4 linked regions of the Anolis sagrei genome follow. The main gene of each other region encodes a partner of the protein of the gene in region 3 in a complex. Links are inferred from orthologs where the notes say so. Each region holds a gene or a part of one and is shown on either strand. Other genes may lie near its edges.

Region 1 (6,927 bases), about 130 Mb from region 3:
CAGCCTACATGGCACTACACCACCAGTCCTTTTGACACATCTTGTTCTCCCTTTGGAATAAAGCACAATGGGGAACTTGTGGCACCCCCAAATATTGATCAAAGACTTCTTCTATCATCCATCATCACTGATCAAGCTGGCTACGGTTGATGGAAACTACAGTCTAAATGGCCACAGGTTCTCCAGCCATGATAAAAGGAAATAGGATTTCATATGTTTTGCTATAGACACATGAAATTATTAGCATTATAATTACTCATTTCACTTCCCCATTCACTCACCAGTGGTCCTTTGACTGCTTTTCCTCCATCCACTTCCGAAGATGTGGTATCTGTCCTGTTGAAGGTGACTGATGTATCAATAACTCTCTTTTCAAATTCTGTGAAGTTAATAAACACATGTGTAGATAAGAAGCATATGTACTCTAACTCACCCATTTTTAAAAAACATGTTTACTAAATACCCCACCTCCGGTTATGGAATATTCTAGAGGCAGAAAGCCCTTACCTTGCACATCAATGAAGAAGGCGCAATAGCGACATGCCACCTTATCCTGAAGACCTGGTAATGGAAGGACTGTACCACATTCAGGACAGAAATCTAGTTCTGACTCAAAGCAGGAACTATTCTGTTCCATATTGACCAAGGAGAAGACAGACTGTAGGAGAGGGAAGATGTATAGGTTGAGCATCCTTTAATTATAATTCCTGTGCGATTAGAATCCCTCTGTATCCAGAGAGCCCACATCAACAGATTCAACTATACATGACTTGAATCTATCGATCTATCTATCTATCTATCTATCTATCTATCTATCTATCTATTTATAAAGGCTATGTTCGTTTTGAGTAACATCACAACTCAAAAACCGCTGGACTAATTGCCAGCAAATTTGGTCACAAGTTACCTACTAATCCAAGGAGTGAGCATCACTAAAAAATTAATCTTGTCATTTGGAAGTTGTAGTTCCTGGGATTTATAGTTAACCTACAATCAAAGAGCATTTTGACCTCTCCCAACGATGGAATTGAACCAAACTTGGCACACAGGACTCCCATGTCCAACAGGAAACACGAGAAGGGTTTGGTGGGTATTGACCTTGAGTTTTGGAGTTGTAGTTCACCTACATTCAGAGAACACTGTGGACTCAAATAATGAAGGATCTAGACTAAATTTGGCACGAATAATCCATATGCCTAAATGTGAACACAGATGGAGTTTGGGTAAATAGACCTTGAGTTGTAGTTACTGGAATTTATAGTTCATCTATAACCAAATAGCATTCTGAACCCCAGCAACGATAGAATTGGGCCAAACTTCCCACACAGAACCCCCATGACCAACAGAAAATACTGTGTTTTTTGGTGGTCTTTGGCAATCCTTCTGACGCCCCCTGACGACCCACCCAAGGGGTCCCAACCCCCAGGTTGAGAAATGCTGTGTTAAGGCCATCTAGTCCAACAACCTTCACCAGGGCAAGAAAACATAATCAAAGCCCTCCTGACAAAGAGCCATCCAACTTCCCCAGCTTCCTGAGCTGAGGGTTAGGGTTAGGGTTCCACATCTGAACATTAGGAAGAACTTCCTGACTGTGAGAGCCGTTCAGCAGTGGAACTCTCTGCCCCGGAGTGTGGTGGAGGCTCCTTCTTTGGGAGCTTTTAAGCAGAGGCTGGATGGCCATCTGTCAGGGGTGCTTTGAATGCAATATTCCTGCTTCTTGGCAGGAGGTTGGACTGGATGGCCCATGAGGTCTCTTCCAACTCTATGATTCTATGATTCTATACACACAGAGACATATGTATATGACAGATATTGTATCATAGATTTTCAAAAGGTCCCTAAAGAAGAACAATTATATGTTGCATGTTTCAGAGTAGGCAAACCAGACAATCAACACTGACAAAGAAACAACAAGAAATACTATTTACCTGCAAGCATAAAGAAATTACATCATTATCTATATAAATAAAAATGTAATGTTCGTTTTTGATATTCATAGAACTCAAAAACCACTGGGGGAATTGACACCAAATTTGGACACAAGACACCTAACAACCCAATGTATGTCCTTCACTAAAAAAAAAAATATGATTTTGACATTTGGGAGTTCTAGTTGCTGGGATTTATAGTTCACCTACAATCAAAGAACATTCTGAACCCCACCAACGATGGTATTGAACCAAACGACACACAGTTCTCCCATGACCAACAGAAAATACTGGAAGGGTTTGGTGGGCAGTGTCCTTTGGTTTTGGAGTTGTAGTTCACCTACATCCAGAGATCACTGTGGACTCAAGCAATGATGGATCCACAACTCTACAAGAATACTCAATATGCCCAAATGTGAATACTGGTAAAGTTTGGGGAAAATGGAATCTTGACATTTGCCGGGATTTATAGTTCACCTACAATCACAGAGCATTCTGAACCCCACCAACGATAGAATTGGGCCAAACCTCCCACACAGAACACCCATGTGGGCCACAGCAACGCGTGGCAGGGGACGGCTAGTTATATATTAGAAACCAACACTTTCTCATTACTTTGTTTTCCAGATCACTAGACTGGGCCACAACAACACATGGCACCAACACACACACACATAATTTAAAAAGCAAGAGCCCTGATTTTACTATTTTATATAAGCAACTATGCCATTGTATATACAGCATTGGGATTAGAGAATGCATGGGCAAACTTGGGCCCTCCAGGTGTTTTGGACTTCAACTCCCACAATTCCTAACAGCCGTAGGCTGTTAGGAATTGTGGGAGTTGAAGTCCAAAACACCTGGAGGGCCCAAGTTTGTCCATGCCTGCCTTAAGAGCTGGTGTCTCACCAAACTTCAAATCCCAAGTGTAGATGCACACCTAAAAAGCAAAAAATCTTAAGTAAGCTCTGAGCCTAATCTAATGAACAGCCCTGATTCTTACCGACTCTAATCCAGGTGCTCCACGTGGGTTCACAGGCAGAACTCACTTCCTTTCTCGGAGAGACGAGCTCGGAGGGAACTTGAGCTAGAGCGCCTCCACTCCATGAGCACTTCCGCTCTGTTTCAAAGCGGAGATACAGTGTAGCCAGTTCTATGGGAGCTTAGCACGTTTGATTATTTAGTTTAGTATTCTGTCCCTTTGAACACACTCAATGTCTTCTTCCCCTCCGTCTTGATTCTCCTTTCTCCAAATAATCGGGATTCAAATGTTCTTTTTTATTGTATTGTTTTAACTGACCACCTTAATTAGCATTTGATGGCTTGACAGTGCCTGGGGGAATCTTTTGTTGAGAGCTGATTAGATGTGCCTGATTGTTTACTCTCAACAAAAGATTCCCCCAGGCACTGCCAAGCCATCAAATGCTAATCAAGGTGGTCAGTTGAAACATTCACACCTAGCTCCAGTGGACAAGAGTCCTTTGTCCCACCCTGGTCATTCCACAGATATATAAACCCCCTTTTCCTAGTTCCAACAGACATCAAATGCTAATTAAGGGGGTCAGTTGAAACATTCACACCTAGCTCCAGCAGACAAGAGTCCTCTGTCCCACCCCAGTCATTCCACAGATATATAAACCCATTTTCCTACTTTTCACTACCTCTGAGGATGCTTGCCATAGATGCAGGCGAAACGTCAGGAGAAAATGCCTCTAGAACATGGCCATATAACCCAAAAAAACCTACAACAACCCAGTTCTTTTTATTTTTGTAGACAGTCAGATCTCTGTATCCACGGGTTCTGTTTCCACGGATCCAGCCAAACATAAATTTAAAATATTCCCCCCTCCACACTAAAACAAAATCTCAAAAGCAATAATAACTATCATACACCCCTAGAGGACTCATCATACACTTTATTTATATTTCGCCCTTCTCCCCTAGAGGACTCAGAGCAGATTACAGCATCTACATTTATTGATTGATTGATTTACCATATTTATATACCACCTTTCTCAGCCCGAGGGCGACTCAGGGCAGTTTACAAACGGCACAATTCGATGCCCCCAACAACATAAAACAATTAAAAACATTTGGCATAAATAGTAAAAACCAATAAAAACCAAAATCCTCAGCATCTCATTACTAAAATCATTATCCAATCATTATCCAGTAGAATACCAAGTATGCAAACTTTGTGTGTTGTTTGTTTGTTTGTTTGTGTTTAATGCAATACAACTGTTTTGGTTTGCTCCTGACACGATATATAAATAATTATCCAATTGCATTGTCGTTCCGTAGATCAGAGTTGTCTGCTACACTGCATTTGGAAATGCTTGCTCAAAAGGTCAAGTTTTAACTTTTTTGCGAAATTATAGGAGGGTGGGGCCGATCTGATATCCCTAGGGAGGGTGTTCCACAGCCAAGGGGCCACTGCTGAGAAGGCCCTGTCCCTCGTCCCCGACAACCAAATTTGTGACGAAGGCGGGACCGAGAGCAGGGTCTCCCCAGATGATCTTAGAGTCCTAGATGGTTCATAAGGAGTGATACATTTGGATAGGTAAGCTGGGCCAAAACCATTTAGGGTTTAATAGGCTAAAGCCAGCACTTTGAATTGTGCCCGGTAGCAGACTGGCAGCCAGTGGAGCTGATGCAACAGGGGGGTTGCATCAGGGGAGTGCTGCTCCTGTTAACAACCTGGCTGCCGCATGCTGGACCATTTGAAGTTTCTGAACAGTCTTCAAATGCAACCCCATGTAGAGAGCATTGCAGTAGTCTATACGGGATGTAGCCAGAGGGTGGATTACCGTGGCTAAATCAGACTTCCTAAGGTATGGGTACAACTGGTACACAAGTTTTAACTGTGCAAATGCTCTCCTGGTCACCGCCAAGACCTGGGGTTCCACACTCAGTGATGAATCTAGGATCACTCCCAAGCTGCGAACCTGCAATCCCCCGTGTATCCCCGTCCAACACAGGCTGTAACCCTATGCCCTATTCAGCCTTGCAACTGACCAGGAGGACCTGTCTTGTCTGGATTCAGTTTCAACTTGTTCGCCCTCATCCAGACCATCACAGCCATTATTATTATTATTATTATTATTATTATTATTATCCTTCTTAGTAGCAGGCAAACATAGGCAAATAGTCAATGCATTTACAATCATATACAATGAGACACATAAACACAAACAAAGGCAGAAGCAAGTTTTGTTTTTGCCATTTTAGGCAAGTGACATTTCACCATGACATTGTATATAACACTATGTAACATTTTTTTAAAAAAAAAATCTGTTTCTGGTTTGAAAGTGTTTCCTGTTTAATAGTACAGTACTTACTTGAAAGTAGTTGTCATAGTCCAGAAACTTCGTTTTTTGTGACTGCCACGAACTGTGTTGAATTGGTTGAGATTTGATGAGAAATTGAAAAACTATAGCAAGATGTGTTGCAGGATGTCCCGCAAAAAACGAAGTTTAATAAACCTTTTCCACGATCTTATGATAGAACCAATTAGAAAATGACATTTATAATCCACGAACAAAAATAGTGTAATGGGACTTGTACACCCATGGATTTTGGTATCCAAAACCCAGTGAATGGCAAGACCCTACTGTACAATCAACAGATGTAAAGAGGCATTCAGTCACACATTTTGTGGAACCAATCTAGAGACACTTTGTCTCAATCTTTCTCTCTACTTCTCTGGTTGGATCTACACTGCCCTGTATCACAGATTATCTGCTTATCCCAGGTTATCTGGCGGTGTAGACTCATATAATCCAGTTCAAAGCAGATCATCTGAGATAAGATCCTGGAATATAGGGCAGTGTAGATCCAGCCTCAGGCCTCTTCTCCACTGCTATATAATCCAGTTCAAAGCAGATAATCTGGATTTTATATGGCAGTGTAGAAGGGGCCTCACTCTCCCTGGGGACTTTATGTTATAGCAGGGCTTCTTAAACTTTTGCACCTAGGAGACCCCTTTTAGCCCAGTCATATTTTATGTGACCCCAGATATATAGGTATACAAAATTGGTATAAACATCAAAAATGTACTGGTAGAAAATTGGGATTTGCAAGGTTGGCTAAACATGCTGGGTTTCCTTTTTATGAAGTACAGCTGAAGCATCTTCTGCAGAGACTACTGTAAACACTGCACAACAGATTCATGTAAATGGCATTCAGAAAGACTTTTACTGTTGCCATTTGCAGGGGGGGGGGCACTCCAGCATTGAGCTCAGGGGACCACATTTGAGGTTGGGCCCAATTGTTTAAGAACCAATGTGTTATTAGGATAAGATACAGGTATTATTAACAAACCATTCAAATCACTGCATTCTCAGGCCTGGCTACCATTCCATTCCTGTCTATCACTTTGCTTCCTATCACTTTCCATCTCTCTTGGCAGATTGCTACAAGTGAACATTACCTCCTCCTGCATATCAAAAGTTTTGTGCATTTTTGTCAGTCATATTCCCTAAAAAGTGTATTCAGTGCTTCAGACTGAAGTTTTTGCCATTTATTTGAATAATGCCACAAGGTGGCACCAACTCTGGAAAAAAAAAGCTGTGCCTTTTTAAAGTATACTTTTCTCCTCAAAGCTAATCTCAGTTGGGAGATTATCAAAACACATCCAGTCTGTCCCATCAAATCTTGGAAGCTAAGCAGGCTCAGCCCTGGTTAGTACTTGGACGGAAGTACCACCAACAAATACTAGATGCTTTAGTCTCTATTTCAGAGGAAGGAACCAGCAAAACTATCTTTAGTATTCCTTTCCCAAGAAAGCCCTATAGAATTCATGAGGCATGATGAAGGCACAATACAAGCATGGACAAGGCCAGAGCTCTTTAAAGTTTTCCCACTTGCAGCCCCTTTTCCCCTGAACTTTTTTTTACATGACCCCAGATATATAGGTATATAAAATAGATATAGAAAGCAAATGTTTATTGAAAGAAATTTATTTTAAAACAACTCTTTGGTTTACATATAATGTTACCAT
Region 2 (8,005 bases), on a different chromosome or scaffold from region 3:
TTCTAAAAATGGCACCAATTTCCCCCTATTAGCTCTAGCTTTTGCGATACAGAACATGCCATCTGCCACTCTTCATCCGCTTGCCAAGAGAAAATAATGATGACCATATGTAAGAAACTAGAGCTCTCCAATTCAACTTTCTGAATCAGTGCCCCAAATAACTCCAGGAATATACCAACATATGTTTTGAAGTTGGAAGTTTGAAAAAAAAACCTGCAGAGAATGTTCTGTACGGTTCCGGTCCAGTGTATCTGTCCGAACGTATCTCCCTCTACGTCCCACCCCAGAGTCTGAGATCATCTGGGGAGGCCCTGCTCTCGACCCCACCGCTATCACAAGTGAGGCTGGTGGGGATGAGGAGCAGGGCCTTCTCGGTGATGGCCCCTCACCTGTGGAACTCGCTCCCGGGAGAAATTAGGGCATCAACATCCCTCCTCTCCTTCAAGAGGAAAGTAAAGACATGGTTGTGGGACCAGGCCTTTGGGCAATTTGACAACTAGATAAGGACAATCAAATGACTAGGACTGACAATGTGGAATTGGAATTTGGGCTATGAGATAGTGAACGCTGACCGTCTATGAGGAGTAATTAGGTTTGTATCGTTTTATTGGTTTTAGGGCTGTAATGCAGGAATTGTTTGACTGTTTCAACTGTTTAATTGATGTTATTTTGTTTTACTACTGTTATGTGATGTTGGCATCGAATTGTGCCTTTGTAAGCCGCCCTGAGTCCCCTTCGGGGTGAGAAGGGCGGGGTAGAAGAAACCGAAATAATAAATTGTGTAATCCTGTGTGATGGAATTTCCTATAGTGTATTTATTTATTTATTTATGACATTTCTATGCCACCCTTCTCACCCCGAAGGGGACTCAGAGCGACTTACAAGATATACATATACATACAATATATTAAATTATTAGTATAGTACAATGGCCATCTGTTGGGGATGCTTTGAACTGTTGGGGGTGCTTTGAACGCGATTTCCTGCTTCTTGGCAGGGGGTTGGACTGGATGGCCCACGAGGTCCCTTCCAACTCTATGATTCTAATATTCTAATCAGTAGATAAATAAAGTAAGACATTGATGTTGCAGTCATAAGAACAGGTCATCACATCTCTGGGTAGATTGTAAGAAATCTGGAAGGCCCAAGTTTGCCCAGGCCTGCTCTACACCGCCAGATAACCTGGGATAAGCAGATAATCCGGGATATTATTATTAACTTTATTTGTACCCCGTTAGTATCTCCCGAAGGACTCGATGCGGTTTACAAAGGCCAAGGCCACAAAACACAACACAAACAATATAACACCAAAAGCAAAATTAAAAACAGTAAAAGTAATATTAACGACATGCAATAGACAGTATATCATGACACAATAAAAACTGGGCCGGGCCAGAGTAATGGGTACAAGATTAAAAGTGCTGATGTGGCAGGTGGTATACGAGGATTATAGGGCAAGTGCAGTGTGCGGTGTGCAATAATCTTAATTCTACTAAAAGTGCTTCGAGGACTTGTTATTGGAGATTTCCTATTCTGGAAAGGCACATCGGAACAGCCAGGTCTTCAAGTTCTTTCTAAAGACTGCCAATGTAGGGGCCTGTCTAAGATCTTTTGGGAGGGTGTTCCAGAGTCGGGGGGGCCACCACAGAAAAGGCCCTGTCTCGTGTCCCCACCAGCCGCGCTTGTGACGCAGGCGGAATCACGAGCAGGGCCTCACCAGATGAACGAAGTGCACGCGTGGGTTCATAAATATAAAAGCTGTAAATAAATAAATAAATAAATGCGAATATATACACACACAAAACACACAGACTGGGCCACTGCACACATGCGCAGAACCACATATATAGACAAACACACATATATACACATATGCACAAATATATACACACACAAAACACATATACACAGACTGGGCCACAGCAACGCGTGGCAGGGAAGGGCTAGTAGATAAATAAAATAAGACATTGATGTTGCAGTTCTAAGGACATGTCATCATATCTCTGGATAGATTGTAAGAAAATTGTATTGTCGAAGGCTTTCATGGCTGGAATCACTAGGTTCTTGTGGGTTTTTTCGGGCTGTAGGGCCATGTTCTAGAGGCATTTCTCCTGACGTTTCGCCTGCATCTATGGCAAGCATCCTCAGAGGTACTGTGGTCTGTTGGAAATAGGAAAATGGGTTTATATATCTGTGGAATGGCTGGGATGGGGCAGTTTCAACAGAAAGGAAGAGACCATGAAAATGAACAAAATCTGGCTACCAGTATTAAAAAACTCTAAAATTACAACAGCAAAACAGCAGAGAGGAAACAACCAGGCACATCTTAACACCTCTCAACAAAAGATTTTCCCAGGCTCAGCCAGGCCTTCAAATGCTAATGAAGGTGGTCAGTTGAAACATTCACACCTAGCTCCAGCAGGGAAGAGCTCTTTGCCCCACCCCAGCCATTCCACAGATATATAAACCCATTTTCCTATTTCCAACAGACCTCACTACCTCTGAGGATGCTTGCCATAGATGCAGGCGAAACGTCAGGAGAAAATATGCCTCTAGAATATGGCTCTATAGCCCGAAAAAAACCCACAAGAACCTTGTAAGAAAATCATTTGAAGTGCAAAACACCTGGAAGGCCCAAGTTTGCCTAGGTCTGCTCTACACCGCCAGATAACCTGGGATAAGCAGATAATCCAGGATATAGGCCAGTGTAGGCCCAGCCTCAGTGGGGTTGGCAGCAACCTGCACCCACAGGCCAGGCCAGGCCTCCCTTTTTCCCCCCGTTCCTTCCTTCCTTTCACCTGCACGGCCCGGAGCAGCCCATCCCCGGTGGCGAAGTCGAAGGACTCCACGTGGGCCCGGGTGACATCCTGCAGGGCTTGCCGCTGCTTCTCTCGAGGAAGGCCGCGCTCCGGCGCCGTCAAGGGCTTCAAACTCGGGGCGCCGGGCAACCCTCGCCACTTGCACGCGGCCTCCATGCTTCGGACTCTCAGAGCCAAGCCAAGAACTCCAAGAGCCAATCAGGAACCGGAACAGCCAACCAGGAACTGTAACAGCCAATCAGGAACTCTGAGTCCATGCTTCGAACTCTTAACAGCCAATCAGCCTCCGCAGTTTCCACCTTCCCCGGTGCATAAACAGAACCGCCCACTCCCGGCATGCCGTGCGCTGATCACTTCCGGAAATCTCTTATCTGTATTGAGGGCTCTGTAGGCACTAGCTGCTTCCCTCACAAGAGAGGGAGGTGTGTGAGGGAGCTCACTTAGAATCATAGAGTTGGAAGAGACCTCATGGGCCATCCAGTCCAACCCCCTGCCAAGAAGTAGGAAAATCTCATTCAAAACACCCCCAATAGATGGCCATCCAGCCTCTGTTTAAAAGCTTCCAAAGAAGGAGCCTCTACCACACTCTGAGGCAGAGAGTTCCACTGCTGAACAGCTCTCACAGTCAGGAAGTTCTTCCTAATGTTCAGATGGAATCTCCTTTCTTGAAGTTTGAACTTACTTACTTAGGCGATCCCTCATAGCCCGAGGATGATGGACTTCCAAGTGTATTGTGAAAATCGCATTCAAAGCAGCCCCGACAGATGGCTATCCAGCCTCTGTTTAAAAGCTTCCAAAGAAGGAGCCTTCACCACACTCCGGGGCAGAGAGTTCCACTGTTGAACGGCTCTCACAGTCAGGAAGTTCTTCCTCATGTTCAGATGGAATCTCCTTTCTTGAAGTTTGAACTTACTTACTTAGGCGATCCCTCGTAGCCCGAGGATGATGGTCCTCCAAGTGTATTGTGAAAATCGCATTCAAAGCACCCCCGACAGATGGCCATCCAGCCCCTGTTTAAAAGCCTCCAAAGAAGGAGCCTCTACCACACTCTGAAGCAGAGAGTTCCACTGCTGAACAGCTCTCACAGTCAGGAAGTTCTTCCTAATGTTCAGATGGAATCTCCTTTCTTGAAGTTTGAACTTACTTACTTAGGCGATCCCTCGTAGCCCGAGGATGATGGACTTCCAAGTGTATTGTGAAAATCGCATTCAAAGCAGCCCCGACAGATGGCCATCCAGCCTCTGTTTCAAAGCTTCCAAAGAAGGAGCCTCTACCACACTCTGAGGCAGAGAGTTCTACTGCTGAACGGCTCTCACAGTCAGGAAGTTCTTCCTAATGTTCAGATGGAATCTCCTTTCTTGAAGTTTGAACTTACTTACTTAGGCGATCCCTCGTAGCCCGAGGATGATGGACTTCCAAGTGTATTGTGAAAATCGCATTCAAAGCAGCCCCGACAGATGGCCATCCAGCCTCTGTTTCAAAGCTTCCAAAGAAGGAGCCTCTACCACACTCTGAGGCAGAGAGTTCTACTGCTGAACGGCTCTCACAGTCAGGAAGTTCTTCCTAATGTTCAGATGGAATCTCCTTTCTTGATGTTTGAACTTATTTACTTAGGCGATCCCTCATAGCCCGAGGATGATGGCCCTCCAAGTGTAGTGTCTTGTTGGTGGTTCCATAGGTGACCATGGAGCCCTATTCCTGATCCACATGTTCTCCCACAGTGAGGACATCGGTTTCGAGGGAAGGCGTTGACTTGAAGCACCTTCCTCTTGGTACGTTTTTCCCTTTCGCCCTCCATTTGTGCCTCTTTGAATTCCGCATTACTGATGGTCACAGCTGACCTCCAGTTAGAGCGCTCAAGGGCCAGGGCTTCCCAGTTCTCTGTGTCTATGCCACAGTTTTTAAGGTTGGCTTTAAGCCCATCTTTAAATCTCTTTTCCTGTTCACCAACATTATGTTTCCCTTCTTGAGTTGGGAGTAGAGTAACTGCTTTAGGAGACAGTGATCATTGAACATCAAGAAAACCAACGTGCTCTTAATAATAATAATAATAATTACGATTGTGTTAAAACACAAAGTATGGATTGTTGATGTTGCAATCCCAGGTGACAGCCAGATTGAAGAGAAACAACTGGAAAAGCTGACACAATATGAGGATTTAAAAATCGAACTGCAAAGACTCTGGCACAAGGCAGCCAAGGTGGTCCCAGTGGTGATCGGCACACTGGGTGCAGTATCTAAAGACCTTGGCACACTGGGTGCAGTGCCTATTGGCCTGTACTTAAACACAATCAGCGCTGACAAAATTACCAGCTGCCAGCTGCAGAAGACCACCTTACTGGGATCTGTTTACAGAAATGCTGATTGTTTGAGAAATCAGTGCTGCAAAGAGGAAGTTACTTTTCAAGGATAACAGTACATCCGGACAAAACCGACTAGCTGGTGGCTAGTTTGAACCCCCAAGTTTCCCAGTCGCTCTGGAGCCATGTTTGCAACAGACTAACAGATAAGACTGATTTATTAAGACAGTCATGTTCTGAGAACAATAGACTATAGTTGGGCCATTGTTAGGATCCCACGTGTGCTATAATGTCAATCAAAATCATAAACCACCAATGAGCAACTGTACAGCTAGCTTAGACCCATGACATTATTTGTCTTTGGGAACCAATTAGAATATGTATGCTAAAAATGATAAAAGCTCTACAGCCCCATTGGGGGTTGCAACAAACCCTTTGATTGCATTCCTGAATGCATGTTTTGTCATTATTGCTATAGCCAAGCAATAAATAGTTTGTTTTTGTTTTTTGCAGTTTAAAGATTCAGCTTTTGTGAAGTCCTTCCTCGTCCTCCCCATATATATATTTTTTGCCCCTACAATTCGTGCAGTTGCTTCCAATTCTTCATGACCTCATGGACCAGGCCAGAGCTTAATAATAATAATAAAACTTTATTTATATACCGCTCTATCTCCCCAAGGGGACTCAATGGATGCTTAATGCACAATATTTCCAGAGTCTGCAGCCTGTGCCATTGTAAGGGTCCAAGAATTCAGCACCCTGGAGAGTTCTCCTCAATGGCCTCACTTAGGGTGCATCTGCACTATACATGGGCCAACTTGGGCCCTTCAGGTGTTTTTGGATTTCAACTCCCACAATTCCTAACAGCTGGCGGTGAGAGAACCAGATGAATGAGTGAGTAATAGTGAGAGGGCTACCCAGAACCATCTAAATGGCTACAAAGCTGTCACAGATAATATCTGGCCCCACTCATCAAGCTGGACACACTCTTGACCTTGTTTTTGTGGCGGACAACGAAATGATCAGAGTGGAAGATCAAAACATCCTTCCAGTGTCATGGTCTGACCATCACCTGATCACATTTAGACTTACTGCGACCCTAAACCTCCGCAGGGGTGGAGGACAAATTAAGATGGTCCGCCCTAGGAGACTGATGGATCCGGACGGATTCCTGAGGAATCTTAGGGTTCTTCCTGCCTTGGAGTCTGGCGATTCTATCGACGCCTTGGTAACTCTCTATAATGGGGAGATGGCCAGGGCGTTAGATACGATCGCACCTGAACGCCCCATCTCGTTGCGTCGTGACAGGCCATCTCCTTGGTTCACCGAGGAGCTGGCTGTGATGAAGCATACGAGAAGGGGGCTAGAGCGCAAATGGAGGAAATCTCGAGATGTGTCTGATCGAACACGGGCTAGAGCCTCTCTTAAGGCATACTCCGTGGCTATACGGGTGGCCAGGAAATCATTCACGACCGCTCGTATAGCATCTGCAGCAAATAGATCATCGGAGCTGTTTCGGGTCGTGGGAGAACTCCTCCACCCACCTGCGGTGGAGGAGGTCGCTGATGACCCTGCAGCTCGGTGTCGCGATTTCGCACACCATTTTGCAGGTAAAGTCGCCCAGATACGTCTTGAGCTCGACTCCAATTCCATCGCAGTGCCAGGAGAGGTGACGGAGGCACCTGCTTGTCCAACCTTGTGGGATTCTTTTAGGCTTGTTCTTCCTGAAACCGTGGAGGAGATTCTTGGGGCTGTGAGAGCGACCACCTCATCTCTTGACCCATGCCCATCTTGGCTCATTAAATCAGCCAGAGGGGGGTTGCTTGACTGGTTTGTACCGATTATCAATGCATCGTTGGAGCAAGGAATTTTTCCATCTAATTTGAAGCAGGCCGTGGTTCGCCCACTTATCAAAAAAGCTTCCCTTGACTCCACGGTGCTGAATAACTACAGGCCGATCTCCAACCTCCCCTTTTTGGGTAAAGTGCTGGAGAGGGTGGTCGCCTCTCAGCTCCAGGGTTTCCTAGTCGATACCAACTACCTAGATCAGTCACAGTCTGGTTTCAGGCCTGGTCATGGCACTGAGACAGCCTTGGTCGCCTTGGTGGATGACCTCCGCAGAGAGCTGGACAGGGGGAGTGTGACTCTGCTGGTTCTCTTGGACATCTCAGCGGCTTTCGATACCATCGATCATGGTATCCTTCTGGGTCGTCTCTCCAGGATGGGCCTTGGGGGCACGGTTCTGTCGTGGCTCCAGTCCTTCCTGGAGGGACGTACCCAGATGGTGAAGCTGGGAGACGCCTGCTCTGACCCCTGGCCTTTGTCCTGTGGGGTCCCGCAAGGCTCTATTTTGTCTCCCATGCTTTTTAACATCTACATGAAACCGCTGGGAGAGGTCATCCGGAGTTTTGGAGTTGGGTGCCATCTCTACGCAGATGACACACAACTCTACTACTCCTTTCCACCTAATTCCAAGGAGGCTTCTCAGGTGCTAGACGAGTGCCTGGCCGCTGTGTCGATCTGGATGAGGAAGAACAGGCTGAAGATCAATCCCGACAAGACAGAGGTCCTCCTGGTCGACCGTAAACCGGATCGGGGTATAGGGTGGTCACCTGTGTTGGACGGGGTTACACTCCCCCTAAAGCCACAGGTCCGCAGTTTGGGTGTCCTCTTGGATTCTTCGCTTACACTTGAGGCTCAGGTGTCGGCGGTATCCGGGAGGGCCTTTGCGCAACTGAGACTTGTGCGCCAACTGCGACCATACCTCGTGAAGGCTGATCTGGCCGGGGTGGTCCACGCCTTGGTCACCTCTAGAATGGACTACTGCAATGCGCTCTACGTGGGGCTGCCCTTGAAGACGGCTCGGAAACTTCAATTGGTCCAGCG
Region 3 (7,141 bases):
CCCTATCTCCCCAAAGGGACACATCTACGGCAAACATTCAATGCCATTATACAATGAACAAAGACAGACAGTACATAAACAGAGGTAAAGGCTTCCCATCTTTTTCCATCTCCTGCATCTGGAGGCTGTGCTCAACTCCAACCACGGGGTGTGTATGCTGTCGCTCCATCTTCCATGCCGAGGAGCTTTGTTGTCCTTTAGTCACTCTTCCAATAGAATCACCCGCACAGGTGCCTTTTTTTACCTCCCCGCCAAAGCAGTACCTATTTATCTACTCACATTGCTGTTTTCGAACTGTTAGGTGAGCAGAAGTTGGACTGATGGTTGGGAGCTCACCCCAACCTGGGCTTGAACTGTCAGCCTTTCAATCAGCAAGATTTTCTACAGCTGGCGGTTTAACCTGCTGTGCTAAAGCCCGCCCCACAAAAAACTCAACAGAAAAAGATGACTATCCCAAATCAATTTCCGTTTGTAATTTTATTCAAGTTTAGGATTAGCTTCAATGCAGATATTCTAACTCAAGTAAACATACAATTACATCTATTTCTGATGTACAGACACACACATATATATTACCTGCATAGAGTATTGCACTTCAGGGCTCCTGCACCAAAATTATTTCCTACATAAGAAAGTCTCTCTGTTTCTGCATTCTAAAAAAGAAAAAAAAGAAAGATTAATGATTTTTTTGGGGATAAAAATAAGTTTTAAAACTAAAGTAAATGCTCCAAAGGCTCAAAGTTTTTTCCCCACCACAAAATGGGAAGCCATTGGCTTCAAGCCTTTTCAAAGTACCCTAAAAGAAAGTGGAATCTTCATGTCAAACAGCCACACAATGTCAATCTATTTATTTTCTTCTCCTCACTTCCACTGCAGTTGATGCAAAACATGTAAAGAAATAATACGAGGGTGGGTCAAATAGTAATGCCTCCATCGCTCTAACTTTTATTTCTTTCACAGCTATTGAACTATGTGTATATGATATAACAGAGGTAACCTTACTCTACTGATTTAGTCTTTTCGTTTTCCAATTGACTGATTAGAACCATGAATCTGAACGTAAAAGAAAGAGCGGTCATTAAATTTCTGGCAAAAGAAGGTTTTACACCTAAGGGAATCCACCATTGCTTGAAGAATGTTTATGATTTGCCCCCTTCTGACTTTTACCTGTTTGGACCTCTGAAAGACAACCTATGTGGTTTCAGATTTAAAAACATGGATCACAAAGCAAAGCTCTGAATTTTTCCAAAATGGGTTTGATGCCTGGGTTGAATAATGGCAAAAATGTGTACAAATGGATGGTGACAGTTCAACTATGAACTGTAGCGACTGCTGTTATATGACCATTCATAATGTTTTTATGACACAGGAAGCAAAACCTTTTGACTCACCCTTGTACAATGGGAATGGTATGTCTGCACATGTCATTTATTTTAATCCATTTTCCAGACATGGATACTGAATAAGCAAATTTCTGTTTTTTAAGTTATGTCTTAAGGTACCCAGATTCCATGCTGAGCGCATTTTCTGTGACTTTAAGGTAAGCATCAGGAAGAGGAGGAATGTCCTGTCGCTAGAATATATAACAGGTAAGAATACTTGTGTGTGTGTGTGTATGTGTATGTATATAAACACACACATACATATATATATTCATGCACAGGCCCCGGTGGTGCAGTGGGTTAAACTGCTGAGCTGTGAAACTTGTTAACCGAAAGGTTAGTGGTTTGAATTGGGGGAGCGGGGGGAGCTCCCATTGTTATCCCCAGTTTCTGCCAACCTAGCAGTTCAAAAACATGCAAATTTAAGTAGAGCAAATAGGTACCACTTCTGCGGGAAGGTAACGATGAAAATTAATGAAAATTATTGGTGAGTATTTCAATTTCTAAATCCCCCCCTCCCCCGCCATGCAGTCATGCCATCCACATGATCTTGGAGGTGTCTACAGACAATGCCGGCTCTTTGGCTTGGAAGTGGAGATGAGCACCACCTCCCAAAGTCGGACACAACTAAACTTAATGTCAGGGGAAACCTTCACCTTTACTTGAGGCCATATCTGTGAAACTTAAATCTGCCATTTAAGGCTACAATCCTATATCCATCGAGGTGAAATAAATATCACTGAACACTGTATTTCTTGCCTCTGAAGAGACATTGACAAAATTGTTCCATAACAAAACTTCAAAATCTAATAATAAAATCATTTGAGCTTTGTGTAACCCTCTCATGTTGTTGTTGTTCATTCGTTCAGTCGTCTCCGACTCTTCGTGACTCTCATAAGTTTACCAAATAAAAAAGTGGGATAGCTGAGTAAGTAAGCAAATAAATACAATTCCTGTTCACCAGTCTATCAGTCAATTAACAAAGCAAGCTTGCTCTATACCAAACCTGCTTACCAAAGTTACTTTCTGCTTCTTTCTCGGGTTTGTGGTGTCTTTGTTTCTGTATAGGTTGAAAGTCATATTTTCAGAACTCTTCAGTTTGCCATTTGTGAACTGAACTGTGCATGAGTGAGAAAACAAAGGTAAGAAAAATTGTAACACCAGCATTTTAGCCTTTGTGAATGCTTTGTCATGCTTAAACTTAAACCTCTCCCCCCAGCATCAACTGCTGCTCTGGGCCAGACTGAAGAGAGAGGGGGACAGGGACAGTTCCACCTTGTCTCCTGCATATGTCATCAGTTGGGGACCTCTCTCCCAAGCACCAACAAGCCACAAATCCCAGGATCCCATAGCATTGAGACATGGCAGCTAAAGTGGGGCCAGGCTGCACTCCAGGCCTAGAGATCAGGGCTTATTTACTTCAATGACCCGGCCACGTGCTTGAGCCTTTGCAAGGGAGCCCTGGGTGCAAAGGCAAGACCAAACCAGGGAAGAATCAGCACTGAGAGCCTTTCTGGCCCCGATCCCTTACCGAGAGGGGCGCTCTGTCCTTCTTGGGGGTCCCCCCGGTAGCACCACCGAGCCTCCATGGCCAAGGATGCCTCTGTTTCCCCGCGTGTGTCCAGCTGCAGGAAGAGGAGTGGCTTTGATCCCAAGCAAACCCCTTCCGCCTGCGAGGCTCACTCCACGAAGCCTCTGTCGCCACCTGCAGGCAGGAAGGGGGAACTGGCTCGAGTCTCCTTTCCTCATATTTACATTGACAAAATGTAAACACCATGCAGGGGCAAACAGTCCTTTAGGCTGTTAGGAATTGTGAGAGTTGAAGTCCAAAACACCTTGGTAAGGGATCAGGGCCAGAAAGGCCAAAGTTTGCTCATGCCTGATCTACACTGTAGAATCAGTGCAGTTTGATCATGCTACAATTGCTATCCTTCAATGCTCTGGAATCATGGGATCTATAGTCTAGTGAGGCACCAGTGAAGACCATCAACACCGAAATACAACACCGCCTGAGCTCTGCGAGTGCAGCATTTTCCCGAATGAAGCAGAGAGTGTTTGAGGACCGGGACATCCGTAGGGAGACCAAGGTGCTTGTTTATAAAGCTATTGTCCTCCCAACCCTGCTATACACCTGCGAAACGTGGACTGTCTACAGACGTCACATGCAACTCCTGGAACGATTCCATCAGCGCTGCCTCCGGAAAATCCTGCAAATCTCTTGGGAAGACAAGCAGACAAATGTCAGCGTGCTGGAAGAAGCAAAGACGACCAGCATTGAAGCGATGGTCCTCTGCCATCAACTCCGCTGGGCCAGCCACATTGTCCAGATGCCTGACCACCGTCTCCCAAAGCAGTTGCTCTACTTTGAACTTAAGAACGGAAAATGGAACATTGGTGGACAGGAAAAGAGATTTAAAGATGGCCTCAAAGCCAACCTTAAAAACTCTGGCATAAACACTGAGAACTGGGAAGCCCTGGCCCTTGAGCGCTCCAGCTGAAGGTCAGCTGTGACCAGCAGTGCTGCAGAATTCGAGGAGGCATGAGTGGAGGGTGAAAGAGAGAAATGTGCCAGGAGGAAGGTGCATCAAGCCAATCCCGACCGGGACCGCCTTCCACCTGGAAACCAATGCCTTCACTGTGGGAGAAGATGTGGGTCAAGAATAGGGCTCCACAGCCACCTACGAATCCACAAGGAAACCCATCATGGAAGACCATCTTACTCGTCCAACGAGGGATTGCCTAAGTAAAGTAAGAAGACCTTTGTAAACTATAACTTGTTGGGGGAAGCAACTTTCTCAAGCCTCCTCTATATGATGTTTGTCTGTTTTGTAATACATATACCTGAAGTATATGTCTTACTTGATTTGAAGTTTCTTTATCTCTATATACCGAAAGAGCAATGGGAGGGGCTGCAAGTCACATGACTGACTCAGTGATCGTTTAGACCAGGGGTCCTCAAACTAAGGTCCAGAGGCTGAATGCAGCCCTCCAAGGTCATGTACCCAGCCTTCACTTAGGGTCAGCCTAAGTTTGTAACGACTTGAAAGCACACAACAACAACAACAACCCTATCTCATCAGCCAAAAGCAGGCCCACACTTCCCATTGAAATACTAATAAATTTATATTTGTTAAAATTGTTTTTCATTTTAATTATTGTATTGTTTTTAAGTGGTATTTGCACTACAAATAAGATATGTGCACTGTGCATAGGAACTCATTCATGTTTTGTTTTTGTTTTCAAATTATAATCCAGCCCTCCAACAGTTTGAGGGACTGTGACCTGGCCCTCTCTTTAAAAAGTCTGAGCTCTGTTCAGGTGTAAACAGGATGACTGTTAGGGAATGTCAGTTGAGGAATGAATGACTCTTAGAGAAGTGTGTTAAGCCTTGAATGAGCTTCAGTATAGAAGTCTGTAAGAGTTCAGAAGCTCATCTTGATGTCGAACCTGAATTTGAGAGGCTCTGCCTAGGCAGAGACCGGCCAGACCCAAAAAGAGGATCTGGAACACCTGGCGAGACAGCAAGCACCAATGAAGATTTTCTCTAATTTTTCCCAAAATAGTCTCACCAAGTTGAAGGAAAGCCACCGAGATGTTTATTTCATTCCAGCTGGCACGGATGACGACCGCAGTAATCTGTCCAGGAGCTGACATAACTCACTGGGCAGAAAAATACAATATTTATAGCCTTCAGATTCAAAAGTTCCCATGCCCACCCTGAGCTGGTTTTGTAATGAGTGGCTGTGACGTCAGCAAGCCAGGAGGAGATCCAAGGAGTGCCCTGGCCCTGCTTTATCTGCCCAGCCAATGAGGTGGAAGGGAGGCAGGCAACGGGAAAACAATGAAGAAATGTCTAGTTGACTGGATTAAGAATGTCGAGTGTTTACCAAATGACCTGGCGATAGCTTCAGGCTCTCAAGCTTGGTCTGAGTTATTTTTCTGTTTCTTGAATTAACATTTTTGCCTGGCCCTGAAAGGCCAGGTCCTTTGTTTTTACTATCGCGCAATATGGAGTTCATTGATGAAACAGAGATGAGTTTTGGAGATCCAGATGTGGCACAGCAAGGATGCAGTGACAAATCCCTAGTTCCTCGTAGATGAGGAAATGTCCTTGGTGTTGAGTGATCCAATATGTCCACAGACTCCCTTAATCTGGATGACCTGGCTATCAGCCCTCCGATGTCCAGATATATAGAGTCATTTATCTATTGTCCATGCAAATGGATCTGGTTGAATCCTTTGTTAGGGGATTATCAGCTCAGGCAGTTTGGAAACTCCAAAAGCCATGAGTTGCTGGTTTATGAAAAGGTTGCTTTCCTTCATATTTTCTTATATAGACATATATACATATAGGGAATGAGGAATGGGGCAAGGGAACATACACAGAGTTCACAGGAAAAGGGGGAATCATGCAGGGTCTAAGGGGAAGTCAAGTCACCCCCCCCCCCCAAGTCCATAAAAATTTGGCAAGAGTTTATAGAAATTCCTATAAAGCTCATGAAAGTTCATAAGAACTCATAAGAGTTCATGGGGGAGGGGTGCATGGAAGCTCAGGGGAGCACTGAGTAGTCGGGAGTCCATTCATAAAAACAGAAAGAGAGATAGGGATTATGGGATCCATTCAGCCTGGTGTCCTTGGCAAAACCATGAATTCCCTGATTTTGAACTATCTTTTACAGAGCCCTGGAAGTGGAGGGTCACCTCCAATTACCATCTTAGGAAATTAGAAACTGTTGAGGTGTGTGTTTTATTTGAAAGTAAACTCTTATTAAAGAGAGCTGTATAAAACAACATAGTTTATTAAGGAACTGTTAAAGGTTATAAGTTCAAGATACAAACTCTTTGAAACGTTACTGAAGTTTTTAACCCTTGACAAGAAATGTGCCTGTATCTTTAAATACGTGAAGTTATCAGTAAACAAAACTTGTTGTCTTTAATAGAAGTCTGGTTGCATCATTTTCTGTTGAAAGTGTCATACCAAAACAAAATATCTACATGCCCAGCGACCATCCATTACCAAATAAACTCTGCTATCCTAATTAGATTGTGATCCTAACAGTTCATGATTTATACCCCGATGGTCAGTGATCCTAACAGGTCATGATCCATTATCGCCAATATAACTCCCATGATTTCATCGCATTGAGCCATGGTAGTTAAATGAAGGTCAAACTGCATTAATTCTATGATACGGATGCACCCTTGGGTAGGTTAATGTTACTTGCTAAAACCTTTAATGGAATGTATGTGAGAAATCCCACTCTTGTCCCTATTGTTAAGCTTTGGAAAAATCCTTTTGAGTATTTGAAAACCCAATTTCTTATCCACTTAACTGAAAACCCTTCCCTTCCCTTATTATAATTTTGTCTCATCACCCTTTCCCGCTCTTCAAACCTGGCAATTTGTTTTAATTGCTTTTATCATTTATTATTGTTGTTGGCACTGAATGAATGCCTGTTGTGAAGCCGCCCTGAGTCCCCCTCCGGGGGTGAGAAAGACGGGATACAAATATGCGAAACAAATAAATAAATAAGTTATATGGCAATGTGGACTCAGATAAGCCAGTTCAAAGTAGATATTGTGGATGATCTGCCTTGATACTCTTGAGTTATATGGCTGTGTGGAAGGGCCCTGAGACAAGGAGTGCGCAGAAATTGTTTGGCCATGTCCTTCCTTTGAAATATAGCCTACAGGACTTAGTACTCCACCCAAGTACCAACCTGGACGGCTTAGCTTCCATGAGAAAAGCAGTCCCCAAC
Region 4 (7,216 bases), on a different chromosome or scaffold from region 3:
TACACTGAAAAACAATGAATGATTTCCAGAGTAAAAGAGATCAAATCCTATTTACAGAATGTTTGCACAGATAAGATTGCCTGGCCCTCTTCTGAGTGTCATGTAGAAACAAGAACAGGTACTTTTGATTACAGAATTCATGTATGTGTGTGCGCGCATATGTAACTACAGAGAGACCTAGCTGTGGAGTTTATAAGGGGAAAAAAGTTCAGATATGAGTAGCATTGGGTTCTTGTAGGTTCTTTTGGGCTATAGGGCCATGTTCTAGAGGCATTTCTCCTGACGTTTCGCCTGCATCTATGGCAAGCATCCTCAGAGGTAGTGAGGTCTGTTGGAAATAGGAAAATGGGTTCATATATCTGTGGAATGACTGGGGTGGGGCAAAGAGCTCTCTGCTGAAGCTAGGTGTGAATGTTTCAGCTGACCACCTTCATTAGCATATGAGTAGCATTGTTTACCAGAATTACTTAAAATGATATAGAGACGATTTCAGCTATGAGTTAAAGGGTCCTACCCTTGAGGATCTTTCCTAAAGAAGTGATACAATACCATATATCTCTCCAAGTCACATCATCCATCATCACCTTTCGCAATGGTCCCTATGTGTGTGCATGCCTTCAAATCTTCTGTCAATATATGCCTATATCCATGTAATAATAATGTTGTTGTTCATTCGTTCAGTCGTCTCCGACTCTTCGTGACCTCATGGACCAGCCCACGCCAGAGCTCCCTGTTGGCCGTCACCACCCCCAGCTCCTTCAAGGTCAGTCCAGTCACTTCAAGGATGCCATCCATCTATCTTGCCCTTGGTCGGCCCCTCTTCCTTTTACCTTCTACTTTCCCCAGCATAATTGTCTTCTCTAGGCTTTGCAATAATAATAATAATAATAATAATAATAACAACAACACTTTATTTATATTGCATCCTTCTCACCCCGAAGGGGACTCTGGGCAGATGACAGCACATATACACGGCAAACATTCAATGCTGCTCTGTACAGACAATACACAGTCAGAACAGAAGGAGGTGGTTTGTTTCGATGCAGTGTCCAGCTGTTTTTGGTGCCATGGAAGGTTGGACTGGAGTCCAGGGATACTGTTGCTCTATCCTCTAAGACGAAAAGCCGTCACAACTTCCTCCTTCCTTTTTGGTCGCCAACATTTTCTGATCTTCTTTATGGTGTCATAACCACCACCACCACCACTTTTAGCGGTACCTAATTTCTCTAATTACAGCTAAAGCTGTTTTCGAATTGCTTAGGTAAGCAATGAGCTAGGCTGACCGTCGGCAGCTCACACTGACCTGGGGCTTCAAACTTGCACTCTTTCAGTTGATAGATCCTATAATTGCTGGTGATTTACCAGCTGTGCTAAACCTCTGGCCCTTAGGTCTGACAATGCTTTGCTTCCAAGATCAGACGAGACCTGTCGCTTTCAAGGTAATGTCCTACTCATGACTTAATTTCCCACACAGCCATATTACTCAGAATATCAAGGCAGGAAATCCCACATTATCTGCTTTGAACTGGACTAGATGGCAGTGTGGACTCAGATATTCTAATTCAAAGCAGATATTGTGGGAGATTTTGTGCCTTGATATTCTGGGTTATACGGCTGTGTGGAAGAGCCCCAAGTAGAACTGTCTGCATTTAGATCCAGTCTATGGGGTCTTTTATAAACATGTATTTTATAAATATTCATCCGGAGAGGCCCTGCTCGTGATTCCACCTGCGTCACAGGCGCGTTTGGTGGGGACGCATGACAGGGCCTTTTCTGTGGTGGCCCCCCAACTCTGGAACACCCTCCCCAAAGATCTTAGACAGGCCCCTACATTGGCAGTCTTTAGAAAGAACTTGAAGACCTGGCTGTTCCGACGTGCCTTTCCAGAATAGGAAACTCCAATAACAAGTCCCAGAAGCACTTTATTAGAACTAAGATTGCTGCACACCGCACACTGCACTTGCCCTACAATCCTTACATATCACCTGTCACATCAGCACTTTTAACCTTGTAAACATTACTCTGGCCTGGCCCAGTTTTATAGTGTCTTGATGTATTATTTATCACTTGTTGTTTAATATTGCTTTAACTGTTTTTAATTTGCTTTAGGTGTTGTATTGTTATGTTGTGTTTTGAGGCCTTGGCCTTTGTAAGCCGCATCGAGTCCTTCGGGAGATGCTAGCGGGGTACAAATAAAGTTAATAATAATAATAATGTCTATGTGATATAAGCACTAAATGATATACAAGCAGCCCCCAACTTACAAACATAATTAAGAACAGGGGCAAGACAACAGTGAGGGAAAAGTACCCCTAGGAAGGAAAATTCACTCCTGAAAGGGTTATCATGGCAAAAAGGTGCCTCCACTGAAACTTTATCTAAAAAATTGGACTTAGGCCAGATAGGAGAAAAGTTGGGCCCTCCGGGTGTTTTGGACTGCAACTCCCACCATTCCTAACAGCCTCAGGCCCTTTCCTTTTCCCCCTGAGGCTGTTAGGAATGGTGGGAGTTGCAGTCCAAAACACCTGGAGGGCCCAAGTTTGCCTCTGCCTGCTATAAAGTGTTTAAATTTTCCAAGACCAGCCTTGAGGCCTCTGTGTGGGGATTAAGAGAGGCCTCCACGACAGCGCCGCCCGGGCCCTGACCTCTCGGAGAAGCGGCGCAGCTCGGCGTCCAACTGGAGGCAGATCCCAGTCCGCTTCCGGTGGAGGAAGCGCGGCGGGAGGGCGACGTGCCTCCGATGAGGCATGACCACCAGGCAGGAGTAGCGACTCTCCGTCAGCGCCCGCGCCGCCTCGAAAGAGGGCAGCTGGGCGCCGAAGGGAGGAAGCGCCGCCGGAACTGGGACCGCGCCTTCGTCGTCTGTCTCCGCCGCCATCGCGCCTTCTGCGACGAATGTCTTCGGGGATCACTCCCCCTTCCCCGCACGAGGCGCCTCTCGCGCTCCCTCCCGTCGCCCTGTGATGACGCTGACGCAGTCGACACAAGCGTCAGGCCTCCCTCCAGACTGGGAGACAGCCCTAAGCGGAAGTGGTTCTGCCTCTCTTCCGGTGAGGGTGATGCGGCCGCCATCTTGGGAGTGGCTTGGCTCCTTTCGCTCCGCCCACTTCTAGGAGGAAAAGGGTATAGCTGTGTGGAAGGTTGCAAAGATCTCAAATACGCCTTAAACATCCCTGATCTGAAAGGCTTCAGACAAGAAGTGTTTGGGATTTTCCCCCTCCCTCCACCCAGATTTGGAATATCTTTATTTGTATACACAGTAGACTCTCAGGGCCCTTCCACACAGCCATATAACCCAGAATACTTACTTAGGCGATCCCTCCTTGGACGAGTAGGATAGTCTTCCAGGATCAGTATTCTTGTGGATCCCTAGGTGACTGTGGAGCCCTATTCTTGACCTCCATCTTCTCCCACAGTGAGGGCATTGGTTTACAGGTGGAAGGCGGTCTCACTTGGGGTTGGCTTGACGCGCCTTCCTCTTGGCACATTTCTCTCTTTCACTCTCCATTGTGCCTCTTCAAATTCTGCAGCACTGCTGGTCACAGCTGACCTCCAGCTGGAGCGCTCAAAGGCCAGGGCTTCCCAGTTCTCAGTGTCTATGCCAGAGTTTTTGAGGTTGGCTTTGAGCCCATCTTTAAATATCTTTTCCTGTCCTCCAACATTCCGTTTTCCCTTCTTGAGTTCGGAGTAGAGCAACTGCTTTGGGAGACGGTGGTCAGGCATCCGGACAACGTGGCCAGTCCAGCAGAGTTGATGGCAAAGGGCCATCACTTCGGTGCTGGTGGTCTTTGCTTCTTCCAGCACGCTGACGTTTGTCCGCTTGTCTTCCCAAGAGATTTGCAGGATTTTTCGGAGGCAGCACAGATGGCAGGCAGTGGGGCTGAAATTCCCAAAGGCCACCCCCCCCCCCAAAAAAAAATTTCATGGTGCTCCGTGAGAAGGCCTTACTGGTACATTATTTAAACTGTTATGTTTACTCATATCATGATCTGATCACCATACTCAATATATCCCATATGCATGGGGCTATTGGTATAACGAGACAAAAGGTTTGCAAGGGTAGATCTTCAGCCCCCCCCCCCCTTGAATCAAACTCAGCCCCTCATACAGCTGTGTGGAAGAGGCCTAAATCCAGTTCAATGCAGTTAATTGGCATCCTGAAACTGGATTATATGGCGGTGTAGATCCAGCCAAAACAGTTTGAATCTCCAAGACCCAAAAGGCATCCAGGCAGTTTCACAAAAGTCACTTTTCTTCTTCTTAGGCCTCTTCCACACAGCTGAATAAAATCCCACATTTCTGCTTTTTGCTGGGTTATATGGCAGTGTGGGCTCAGATAGCCCTTCCAGACAAGCCCTATATCCCAGGGTCTGATCTCGGGTTTTCTGCTTTAAACTGGATTATATGAGTCCGGACTGCCAGAAAACAGAAAATCTGGGATCAGATCCTGGGATATAGAGCCTGTCTGGAAGGGCTCTCAGTTCAAAGCAGATATTGTGGGATTTTCTGCCTTGATATTCTGGGTTACATGGCTGTGTGTATGGTCTTTATTTTCTTATACTTATTTATATCCTGCTTTTTCTCACCATATGGAGACTCAAAGCAGTTCACGACTAAAAGCATTGCAATACAACTTAAAATAGACAAATGTACAAGTATTAAAACAGTATTAAACATAATTAAAAGCATACAAAATCACAGCAGCCCCTGATGAGCTTAAAACCCTTCCTCTTTAAAAGCCTGCCTGAATAAAACGGTTTTAACCTGAGGCCTGAAGGACAGCAGGGAGGGATCCATTCTGGCTTCCCTGTGCAGGGAGTTCCAGAGTCGAGACGCAGCCACCGAGAAGGCCTTCACTCTTGTTCCCACCAACTGCGCTTGAATGGAGGTGGGACCAAGAGAAGGGCCTCTCCTGAAGATCTCAGTGCCAGGGCAGGTTTGTACAAAGGGATGTGGTCAGCCAAATAGCCTGGACCTGAGCCGTCTAGGACTTTAAAGGTCATAACCAGCACTTTGAATTGTGCCGGAAACAGATGATAAAAATATGATTTTTATTTTGATGGTCTTTAGTACATTTTGGGAGTTGCTGAGGCTCAGGCATGTAGCCGGGGGGGGGGGGGGCTTCAACCCCCCCGAAATTCTCATGGTGGTCTGCAAGAAGGCCTTACTGGTACATGCTCAATATATCCCATATGCATGGAGGTATTGGGGTAACAATACAAAAGATTTGCTAGGGTAAACCCTCTTTCACTCAGACTCACCCCCCCCCCCCCCCGCCCCAAAAAAATTCAAAATCCTGGCTACGGGTTGGTGAAGTTGGATCTACATTGCCATAGAATCACTGAGTTCAAAGAGACCTCATGGGCATCCAATCCAACCCCATTCTGCCATGCAGAAAAAGCACAATCAAAGCACCCACAACATATGGCCATCCAGCCTCTGTTTAAAAGCCTCCAAAGAAGGAACTTCCACCACAGAATGGTCAGTGTAAACTCATATAATGCAATAATAGAGTTAAACTGCATTATATGAATCTACACAATTGAACTGCACGCTATGGCAGTGTAAATGGGTTCAAGGTTATCTTTCCTCTTTCCTCTATGTTTTGCTATTCATTGATGTTTAAGTGAAGGCTTCTGGAAGCAACTAGTGTTTACCTTGTCAGTCGTAGGCAAGCTCATACAATTCCAATAGTAGAAATGGGAGAACTATTCTATTTTTTCCAGCTCAGGCTTCATTGCATTGTTTACTACAGACATGCTCTTGCAACTCAATGTTTCTCCAGCTCTTCTTCAGCATCCTCCTAATGTTGGTGCTCCTAAAAGGTATCTAGCTGGACAGAGGACAAGGAGGAGAAGCATTCCAGGCGGTTATAAAAAGTCTTAGAAAAAATGGAGTCTCAGGGCCCTTCCACACAGCCATATAACCCAGAATATCAAGACAGGAAATCCCACAATATCTGTTTTGAACTGGGTTATCTGAGTCCATACTGCCAAATATTTCAGTTCAAAGCAGATAATGTGGGATTTTATTCAGCTGTGTGGAACAGGCCTCACTATCAGAAACATTTAGTTTTATGTACAGGCAAACCAAAAGTGGTAATGAATAATAAAAGTAAATTTAGGAAGTAGTCACCAGGTGGCACAATTGAGCTTTGAATATATAAGCAATGTTTAACCCAAGTAAAATAGTGTAAAGGGATTCATTCCCCAAAGTTTAATATGAAAACAAACACATCATTATTCAAAATGTTTGCGCAAAGTTTGGTCTTAACTGCTCCTATTAATCTTAACAGTGTTCGCTGTTGCGACCTAAACAGTTTTGAGAGAAACTTGCATTCCTTTCCATTTGTTTTTGGCTGTTCTTCATATTACCTTTTGAGACTCTAGTGTTGGGCATTTCCAGTAGTTCTTCCTTAAGCTTTCATGGTGTCCCCAAATTATTTAACTTTAGAGCAAGGGGTACCTTTTGCCTTTCAGTTCTTTGGGAATACATATCCCCAAATCTCTCACAATCTGCTGTCTTGATTAAGGCTGGTGATATTGGTGTAAAATAGAGATTAAAGATTCCGCTGTATGTTGATATGTTATAGGGAGGCTGGCCACCTCCATTTTGACAATAGTTGTCTCTTCCCATAGCCTGCATTGTTTACTAATATCTGTCATTTGTGTTATGCAAGTAATTCTGTAACCACAATATTATGTGCCCAGATGTTACGGTTATATACAGTGCCAGACCCTGAGACGTCCTCCAACAAGAAATCCTAAAAACATTCCGTCCTGGTCACATAGACCTCAGATAAGGATTACCGCATATGCCTTAGAAATCACTCTATAAAATACTGACACTTGAAATAAACTTTATCTCGGCTGCGAGTAGCTTGGACAGAAGCTGTGCTGGGGCTCGGTACATTCTTTGGCCAAAGTTGTTGTTTGTTGTTGAATCTCCGTTTCAGATCCCATCTGAGCTTTGTGTCTCACCTGGAGAAGACCCATTGGGCTGATGTTTCAAATCTTACTTAAAAAGTGTAAGTAGGCTAAACATCTAGAGATCCAAGGCAAGTATATTCCAAAGTATAGTGTCAGCCTTATTATTCTTTATCTAAAATTATTATTATTATTATTATTATTATTATTATTATTATTTTGCATTAGGATTTGGCCCCATGTACTGAATTGTAGCCCCCTTAACCAGTTTTTGCCCTCGTTATTTTTGA

What was found.
Region 1: POLR1E (region 3) and POLR1H share a complex: the UniProt entries of both Homo sapiens proteins name them as parts of the RNA polymerase I (Pol I) complex. The link is inferred for Anolis sagrei from reciprocal best matches to the Homo sapiens genes POLR1E and POLR1H.
Region 2: the proteins of POLR1E (region 3) and POLR1B are in contact, whole or in part, in a cryo-EM structure (PDB 8A43), measured with the Homo sapiens proteins. The link is inferred for Anolis sagrei from reciprocal best matches to the Homo sapiens genes POLR1E and POLR1B. Residues at the interface, in NP_071935.1 of Homo sapiens: Gln27, Ser29, Asn30, Gly31, Tyr69, Thr76, Leu79, Lys80, Cys81, Leu84, Cys85, Met109, Gln110, Pro111, Leu112, Phe113; in NP_061887.2 of Homo sapiens: Lys254, Ser258, Phe259, Ser260, Tyr262, Gln263, Gln266, Ser295, Thr296, Gln297, Ser338, Thr340, Glu341, Ala532, Cys535, Pro541, Ile542, Asp543, Gly544.
Region 4: POLR1E (region 3) and POLR1F share a complex: the UniProt entries of both Homo sapiens proteins name them as parts of the RNA polymerase I (Pol I) complex. The link is inferred for Anolis sagrei from reciprocal best matches to the Homo sapiens genes POLR1E and POLR1F.

The regions. Positions count from the first base shown.
Region 1 is NC_090022.1:23,171,494-23,178,420, reverse strand, and holds the start of POLR1H (DNA-directed RNA polymerase I subunit RPA12), read right to left. Parts: upstream 3,012-6,927; 5' UTR 2,932-3,011; intron 659-2,931; 5' UTR 638-658; coding exon 508-637; intron 380-507; coding exon 282-379; intron 1-281. UniProt on the Homo sapiens protein: Core component of RNA polymerase I (Pol I), a DNA-dependent RNA polymerase which synthesizes ribosomal RNA precursors using the four ribonucleoside triphosphates as substrates. Can mediate Pol I proofreading of the nascent RNA transcript.
Region 2 is NC_090021.1:24,390,893-24,398,897, reverse strand, and holds the start of POLR1B (DNA-directed RNA polymerase I subunit RPA2), read right to left. Parts: upstream 3,022-8,005; 5' UTR 2,976-3,021; coding exon 2,799-2,975; intron 1-2,798. UniProt on the Homo sapiens protein: Catalytic core component of RNA polymerase I (Pol I), a DNA-dependent RNA polymerase which synthesizes ribosomal RNA precursors using the four ribonucleoside triphosphates as substrates.
Region 3 is NC_090022.1:152,394,590-152,401,730, forward strand, and holds the start of POLR1E (DNA-directed RNA polymerase I subunit RPA49), read right to left. Parts: upstream 3,022-7,141; 5' UTR 2,972-3,021; coding exon 2,914-2,971; intron 2,501-2,913; coding exon 2,397-2,500; intron 654-2,396; coding exon 577-653; intron 1-576. UniProt on the Homo sapiens protein: Component of RNA polymerase I (Pol I), a DNA-dependent RNA polymerase which synthesizes ribosomal RNA precursors using the four ribonucleoside triphosphates as substrates.
Region 4 is NC_090026.1:94,695,046-94,702,261, reverse strand, and holds the start of POLR1F (DNA-directed RNA polymerase I subunit RPA43), read right to left. Parts: upstream 3,009-7,216; 5' UTR 2,879-3,008; coding exon 2,646-2,878; intron 1-2,645. UniProt on the Homo sapiens protein: Component of RNA polymerase I (Pol I), a DNA-dependent RNA polymerase which synthesizes ribosomal RNA precursors using the four ribonucleoside triphosphates as substrates.